2 linked regions of the Lonchura striata genome follow. The main gene of each other region encodes a partner of the protein of the gene in region 2 in a complex. Links are inferred from orthologs where the notes say so. Each region holds a gene or a part of one and is shown on either strand. Other genes may lie near its edges. The genes, in order: RPL13A and GAPDH.

What was found.
Region 1: GAPDH (region 2) and RPL13A share a complex: the UniProt entries of both Homo sapiens proteins name them as parts of the GAIT complex. The link is inferred for Lonchura striata from reciprocal best matches to the Homo sapiens genes GAPDH and RPL13A.

What each region holds. Positions count from the first base shown.
Region 1 is NC_134640.1:2,921,649-2,925,548, forward strand, and holds the start of RPL13A (large ribosomal subunit protein uL13), read right to left. Parts: upstream 2,935-3,900; 5' UTR 2,886-2,934; coding exon 2,871-2,885; intron 2,660-2,870; coding exon 2,587-2,659; intron 2,519-2,586; exon of another isoform or gene 2,440-2,518; intron 2,369-2,439; coding exon 2,303-2,368; intron 1,882-2,302; coding exon 1,780-1,881; intron 1,551-1,779; coding exon 1,465-1,550; intron 1,215-1,464; exon of another isoform or gene 1,144-1,214; intron 1,054-1,143; coding exon 994-1,053; intron 455-993; coding exon 332-454; intron 1-331. Other genes in the region: SLC17A7 (vesicular glutamate transporter 1), read right to left, coding at 3,460-3,729. UniProt on the Homo sapiens protein: Associated with ribosomes but is not required for canonical ribosome function and has extra-ribosomal functions.
Region 2 is NC_134604.1:29,417,118-29,421,017, reverse strand, and holds the start of GAPDH (glyceraldehyde-3-phosphate dehydrogenase), read right to left. Parts: upstream 2,935-3,900; 5' UTR 2,845-2,934; intron 2,376-2,844; 5' UTR 2,355-2,375; coding exon 2,332-2,354; intron 1,761-2,331; coding exon 1,661-1,760; intron 1,528-1,660; coding exon 1,421-1,527; intron 1,336-1,420; coding exon 1,245-1,335; intron 1,074-1,244; coding exon 958-1,073; intron 844-957; coding exon 762-843; intron 625-761; coding exon 473-624; intron 372-472; coding exon 293-371; intron 66-292; coding exon 1-65. UniProt on the Homo sapiens protein: Has both glyceraldehyde-3-phosphate dehydrogenase and nitrosylase activities, thereby playing a role in glycolysis and nuclear functions, respectively.

The sequences.
Region 1 (3,900 bases), on a different chromosome or scaffold from region 2:
AAATGAGGTAATAATGGGAAAAGGACAAAACAAGGAAAAAAAAGGGAGACTCGATTTGACCCCAATTCCCCCCACCCTGAATTCCAATGGAATTCAGGTCTTGCCCCTGGTTTGAGGCTTTTACCTCCTTTTAGGACTCTTTTACCTGGCTTTAGGATTTTTACCTGGTTTTAGGGCTTTTCCGCTGTTTTTCTGGACTTTCCCACCCCTGCCAGCATTTTGAAATCCCAATCCCAAATCCTGGGGGGTTCTCCCTGCCTGGCTCTGGACCCTCCCCCCGATTTGGGTGTCCTCCCGAGGGATTTTGGGGCGTTTTCCCCGTTTTCCTCACCATCATCTTCCTCTTCTTGTTGTAGCGGAGCTTGGCCTTCTCCTTCCGCTTCTCCTCCAGGGCCTCGGTCACGTCCCGGTACTTCCAGCCCACCTCGTGTGCCAGCCGGCCCAGAACGGCAAACTGGGAGGCACGGGGGGCTCAGAACCCCAAAACCCCCCCAAATCCCATAAAACCACCCCCAATCCTATAAAACCCCACCAAAACCCCATAAAACCAGCCCAAATCCCATAAAACCCCACCAAAACCCCATAAAACCACCCAAATCCCATAAAACCTGGCCCAATCCCATAAAACCACCCAGAACTGCCCAAAATACCACAAAACTCACCCAAATCTCCCTAATTCTCCACCGAAATCCCATAAAACCCTTAAAATCCCATAAACCCCCTAAAAAAGTCCCAGAAAACCCCCTAAAATCCCTTAAACTTCTTAAAAACCCTCATGAAACCCCCCAAAAATCCCACTACCCCCATTAAAATCCCATACAACCCCTAAAAAACCATATAAAGCTCCCTAAAATCCCATAGACTCCTAAAAAAATCCATTAAAAAACCCTCATAAAACTGCCTAAAACGCTGTAAAATCCACACAACAATCCCATAAAACTCCCAAAATCCCAAAAACTCCTAAAAACCCCCCAAACCCCCTCCCGCACCCACCTTGCGCGTGGGTTTGAGGCGGATGATTTTGAGGGCAGCCGGCACCACCATCCGCTTCCTCTGGAAAACCCAGGAATTTCGGGATTTTTGGGGGTTTTTTTAAGGTTTTTGGGGTTTTATTGGGCAGGTCCCAGGGGTGGGCGGGGCTCCAGGTGTCTCAGATTTGTTTTTTTCTCAGCAGAAATCGAACAATGTAGGTAAAAATGACATCACTGACACCACGGCTCATTTTGGGGGGATTTTAGGGAGATTTGGGGGGGAAATTTGGGGAGTTCTGGAGGGGGAATTTGAAGGACATTTGGGGGATTTTAGAGAGGGAATTTTGGGGAAGATTTCAGGGTTTTGGCAGTGGAAATTTGGAGGGCTCCAGAGAGGGAATTTGGGAATGACTTGGGGATTTCTGGAGTGGCAATTCGGGGGGTTTTGGAGGGAGAATTTTGGGTAAGATTTGGGGGTTTGGGGTTTTCCCACCTTGTCGTAGGGCGGGGGGATACCATCGAACACCTTGAGCCGCTCCAGGGCCGCCTGGCCCCGCTTGGTTTTGTGGGGCAGCATCCCTGAATTTGGGGTGAAAACACAGATTTAGCATCCTTGGATTTGGGGTGAAAGCACTGGGATTAGGGCAATTCCCAGGGCTGATTTTGGGATAATCAGAGAAAAAGGAAAAAAAGAGGAAAAAACCAAAAAAAAAAAAAAAGAGAGTCAGAGAAAAAGAAAAAAAACGGGAAAAAAAAAGGAGAATCAGGGAAAAAGGAAATAAAATCAGAAAAAAAGCGGAGTTTTCACCTCGGACCGTGCGCCAGAAGATCCGACTGGGAGCTCGGAAGTGGAAAGGGCCCCGCGAGGGGTTGGTGTTCATCCTCTTCCTCAGGAATGCCAGGAACTTCACTGCGGGGAAAACGGGGCAAAATCCCTCAGGAACGGCAGAAAACGGGACAAAATCCCTCCGAAATGGCACTTTGGGAACTGGGGAGTGCCAGGATGGGGAAACAGGGGGAAATCCCCCCAAAAACTTCACTGGGGTGGGCAAACAGAGTGAATTCCCTAAATGGGATTTGGGGAATGCGAAAATCCCCCAAAATGGGGGCTGGGGGTGCACCGAGAACCTTCTGGAAACTTCTGCGTGACTCAGGAACGGCGGGACCGACCCTAAAACCCGGGATTGTCCCCAAAACCCGGGATTGTCCCCAAAACCCGGGACTGTCCCCAAAACCTGGCACTGCCCTCAAAATCCGGGATCTCCTTCCATTCCCGGGATTTCTCCCGAACCCGGGATTTCTCCCGAACCCGGGACCCCCGGGCCACTCACGCTTGTTGCGGTAGAAGTTCCCAGAGATGTTGATGCCCTCGCAGCGAACCACGACCACGCGGCGGCCTGCGGAGAGCGCGGCGGGCCCGGTCAGCCCAGCCCGGTGCCCCCGGTACCCCCAGTATCCCCCGGTGCCCCCGCGCTCAGCTGGTAGTGCATGGAGGCAGCTCTCATTGTCGTTAAACTCGACAGCCGACAGCGCTCATCACGGCGCGGGGGGCCCGGTGCCCCGGGATTGTCCCGGGATTCCCCCGGTGTGCCCCGGGAAAGGCTCCCGCACTCACCCAGCAGCACCTGCTTGGCCACGATCGCCGCCAGCCGGCCCAGGAGGTGCCCGCGCCCGTCGATCACCAGAACCTGCGGCGCGGGCGGCACCGGGTGAGGCCCCGCCGCCACCGGGGCCGGGCCGCACCGCGGGGCCGCCACGTGGCCGCGCCCCGCGCTCCCCCCGCCGCCCGCCCGCCGCTCCCCGCAGCCCCCCGCAGCGCCCGGCCCCATCCCAGAGCCCCGCGGAGCCCGGCCGGGCGCCCCTCCCGCCCCGTGCCGCCCCCGTGCCGCCGCGCCGCACCCGCGGCTCCGCCATGGCCGCCGCCCGCTCGCAAAGAGGCCCCGCCCCCCACGCGGGGTCGCCGCTTCCGTCGGGGACAGCGGCGGGCGGAAGTGACGCCACGACGCGAAGAGGGCGCGAAGCCGCGCCGGGATGCGCCACTGAGGGCGGAAGTGGGGCGGGAACGCCCCCGGTGCCCCCAGTCCCTCCCGGTGCTCCCAGTACGCGCAGGACCCGCTCCCCGGCCTCCCAGTGCTGCCCCAGTTCCCCGCCCAGTACCTGCAGTCCCTCCCAGTGCCCCCAGTAACCATCCGAATCCCTCCCAGTGTCCCCAGTACAGCACTCCAGGCTCTCCAGCGGTCGCTCCTTGTATTTATATATGTACAGCGGAGGGGCCCCGGCTCTCGGGGCTCTCGCACCGGGGGTCCCCGGTCGCTCCTGGGGTTCTCGGGGCTCTCAGGGACTCGGACCGGGGTTCCCCGGTGGCTCCCGGGGGTCTCAGGGCTCTCGGGGGGCTCGGACCGGGGGTCCCCGTTGGATCCCGGGGCTCTCGGGGATGGAAGGGGGGTGGGGTCGCCTCTTCGGAGCGCATCCCTGCGGGCGCCCCGCGTCACTCGTGCGGGGTCCCGGGAGCCGGGGTGGTGCCGGTGGCGCCGTAGCTGGCGGGGGGCCCTCCCGGGGGTCCCGGGGGTCCCACTCCTCCTTCCTCCTCCTCCTCCTCCTCGTCGTCCTCGCCGGCCGGCGCCAGCGGCTCCGCCTCCTCGCGCGGCGGCTCCGCCCACGGCTGCGGCTCCCCCGAGGCGAAGGCGCCGTAGAAGGCCACGCCCCCGTAGTGCACGAGCGCAGCGATCAGGAACACCCACTGCCACTCCTCGCGCGTCTGCGCCAATCAGCGCCCGACGCGTCACAGCAGGGCGGGGACACGAATGGGGAGGGGGCGTGGCCAGTGCGGAGCGCGGGAAAGAGGCGCGGCCAAGGGAAGGGCGGGGCCAAGGCGAGTGGGCGGGGCCGAGCACACAGTGAGTGACAGGCGGCCGGAGCGACCCCCAAA
Region 2 (3,900 bases):
AGGATGCCCTTCAGGGGCCCATCAGCAGCAGCCTTCACTACCCTCTTGATGTCATCGTACTTGGCCTGAGGAGACACAGATCCAAGATGATCAGATTCCAACTCACACAAAATGTCCATTGGGGACAGGGAAGGGAGAAGACACACATGGGAACACCCCAGCAGGTGCTCTTTTCACAAAGATTATCTTCAGGACAAGATGGATGCAGAGAGGGCAATTCCAGGTGCAATGCAGAGCTTAGAGGAAGAGGGGCACATCTGCAAGCTGTTAGGACCCCGTCCACAACACTTACTGGTTTTTCCAGACGGCAGGTCAGGTCCACAACAGAGACGTTAGGGGTTGGCACACGGAAAGCCATTCCAGTAAGTTTCCTGTGAGAGACACAAGTCACTAAGGAACAGCATCTGGCACTCCTCTGCCAGTCTAGGAATGTTCTGCCTCCTCCTGACACCTGAGAAGGGACAACACTCACCCATTGAGCTCAGGAATGACTTTTCCCACAGCCTTAGCAGCTCCAGTAGATGCTGGGATAATGTTCTGAGCAGCACCTCTGCCATCCCTCCAGAGTTTCCCAGAGGGCCCATCCACTGTCTTCTGTGTGGCTGTGATGGCATGGACAGTGGTCTGAGGAAAGAGCATAGGATTAAGAACACAGCCAATACTCTCCAGAAAGAGCATCCCAGGTGACACAGACGCTTTTCCCTCTCACGTGAGGGGATCTGTGGTAGGTCACCCTCTTCAGCACCAAGCTGCAGACCTACCATGAGACCCTCCACAATGCCGAAGTTGTCATGGATGACCTTGGCCAAGGGCGCCAGACAGTTAGTAGTGCAGGAAGCATTGCTGGGATAGAGAGATAAAGGCACGTCAGCCAGAGGCAACACTCCTACGGAGGTGAAGTGAGACCCCTGGCAGCTGGCGAGAGCTCCAGGCCAGGAAGCATGCTACTCTCCTTACCTGACAATTTTCAGAGATTTGTCATACTTCTCATGGTTGACACCCATCACGAACATGGGAGCATCAGCAGAGGGGGCAGAGATGATCACACGCTTGGCACCACCCTTCAGGTGAGCCTGGAGAGAGAAAGATAAGAGATTACATAACTCAGGATCCTTCCAAGCTTGCTTCTTCAGATCTCTTCTCCTTCACAGCCCTATCTTGAGCAGCTCTGTAAATGGTGGTGTGCCCGACAGGCAGAAAGCAGCACTATTCCCTTCTCTCCTACACCTCTGTGGCATACTCACCCCGGCCTTCTCCATGGTGGTGAAGACACCAGTAGACTCCACAACATATTCAGCACCAGCATCTGCCCACTTGATGTTGCTGGGGTCACGCCTAAGGAGGGACAAAATTTTACAAGCTGTTCCATGACACAGTTGCTTTCAATCTCCAGAGGAGCAATCAAGAAAGAGATACTTACTCCTGGAAGATGGTGATAGCATTCCCATTGATGACAAGTTTCCCATTCTCAGCCTTGACAGTGCCCCGGAAGTGGCCATGAGTAGAATCATACTTGAACATGTAAACCTAATAAATAGGAGGAGCAGAAGGTCAGGCACCCAGGCTGCCATCATCTTCTAACACCCGGGGAAGCTACGAGAACAGATCCACAGGAGCCCTACTCAGAAAGGCCCAGAGGGGGCACTGCAAAGCAACTCACCATGTAGTTCAGATCAATGAAGGGATCGTTGATGGCCACCACCTGGACTTTGCCAGAGAGGACGGCAGCCCGGGTGACCAGGCGGCCGATGCGGCCAAATCTGGAGAGAGAAAGACACGGGTGAGGAGGTGCAACAGAGAACCAGCCCAGCTGGGCATGGGAGGCAGTCCTTGGCAGCCTTCCCTTGGGATCATCAGCTGCTCCCTGCCCGGCAGGGCGGGAGGGAGCCCTGCAGCTCGTCCAAAGGCCAAGGCACCCCGGTTAAAGATTAAGAACGACCCCCGCCCCAGAAAGGTCAATCGCTAAATTTACAGAGAGCCCCGGGGATCCGGTTACTCCTCGGCCCGGCACGAGAAGGTCACATCCCCGGGGCCGCCATCGACACACGATCCACTGAGAAACCTTTCGGTGGGGGGCTGCAGGGATCCCCGGGAACGGGGAGGGAAACTGGGGCAGCCGAGCAACGGCAGCCCGTTCCGGAGTGAGTCACCCCGAACCCGAGGAGAAATGAGTCAGCAGCACCGCTCGCTGCCCCGGGGGGCGCCGGCCGAGCGGGGCCGGCGGGATCCAGCCTCTCCCCGAATCTTCCCCCCGCGCCCTTGAGGCGACCTTGCCGCTCCACCACAACCCCCCTCGAAATCCCCGCTGGTCCTGTCGGCCGCAGCACTTACCCATTGACTCCGACTTTCACCATCTTTACCGCTTCGGGATGTTCCTGTGGGCAGAAACCAGCAGCGGGGGCGTAAGAGCCGGCACCAGCCGCCCTCGGAGTCGCGCCCTCAGCCGGTGCCGTTAACGCCTCGCCCTCGCTGAGGGGCGAGCGGGCATCGGGGGCCGCGAGGCGAGCGGGGGCTCGCGCGCCGAGCTAGCCCCACCCCCCGCCGCGGGCGACTAACCCACCTGCCCCCCCCGCGACAACTACCCGCCCCCTCCTCCTCCTGCGGCGACCATCTCCCCCTCACACCCCTATCCCTCCTCGCCTCACCGCCCCCCTTCACGCCGCCCCCGCCATTTTGCGCCGCGCCGCCTTTGTGCCCTGGGCCCCGCCGCCACGCGGCCCCGCTCCGCCCGGGGGCTGCCGCACCCCCCGCCGGCGGGCGGGGCGCCCGTGTGGGGAGGGGGCTCCCACACGCCCGCCGCCACCGCTCTCTCCCCCCGCGCATCTCCGCCGCCCCGCCCGTTACCTGCTGCCTCCGAGCCGCCCGGCGCGCAGTGAGGAGGTGGCGCAGCGCCTCTCCGCCGCCCTTTATAGCCGCGTGAGGGTAGGGCGAGGGCCCGCCCCGCCGCGACGCCGTCGAATGGCAGCGCGGGGGCCGGACTGGGCTACGTGCGCCCGTGCCGCGGGTGCGGCTGCCGAAGACTCCCCCTGTTTCCCCCGCCCCGCCGCCCCCCGTTAACAAAGGCCCCGCTCTGGGAATGTAGGGTCCGTAGCGATCACCCTCCCGTCGGGCCACCCCAAGGGGGTTGGTGGTGCAGGTGGCGGTGGTGAAAGATGCACCGGTCCTTGGTCGGAGGTGTCCCCAGAGCGGGGATGGGTGGCTGCACCCCTGCCCGAGGAGGCAGAGAGGGCGATAGCCGGTCAGGGGCTGCTCCCGCCGGGCCCGCTGCTGCTCCGCAGGATGGTGTGCGCTGCTTTCACCTGGTAACAAAGGGCAGGTAGCCACCCGCCCCGGCTGCAGCCTGTGCCCAATTGGATGGAGTAGTATCCAGTATCCGAAGGGACCTACAGGGAAGCCGGAGAGGGACTCTTCGTCAGCAGCTTTAGTGTTGGGAAAAGGAGTAATGGGTACAAATTGAAAGGGATGAAATTTAGGATGGATATTACGAAGAAGTTCTTTACTGTGAGTGTGATGAGGTACTGTAACACGTTGCCCAGGGAGGCTGTAGATGCCCCAACCATGGCACTGTTCCAAGCCAGGCTGGGTAAGGCCTTCAGCAACCTGCTCTAGTGGGAGGCGTCCGTGCACGTGGCACGGGGGTTGGAACTGGATAATCTTTAAGGTCCCTTCCAACCCCTTAACACTCCATGATTCTATGGCTGCACGGGTAAAGGGACTGCAGGGATGCTCGGGTCATCCCGAGGGAGCGGCGGATCTCCAGGCTGTCCCCCACTCCCCCCGGCACGGGAGGTACAGTCTGGGAGTTCTCCCGCCTCCAGGCTGCGACCTTCCCCGGGTGGGCTTATCCAGGCGCGCTCTGGACGGGGCCCCTGGCCGGGCGCTGCCCCAGCAGGCCACGGG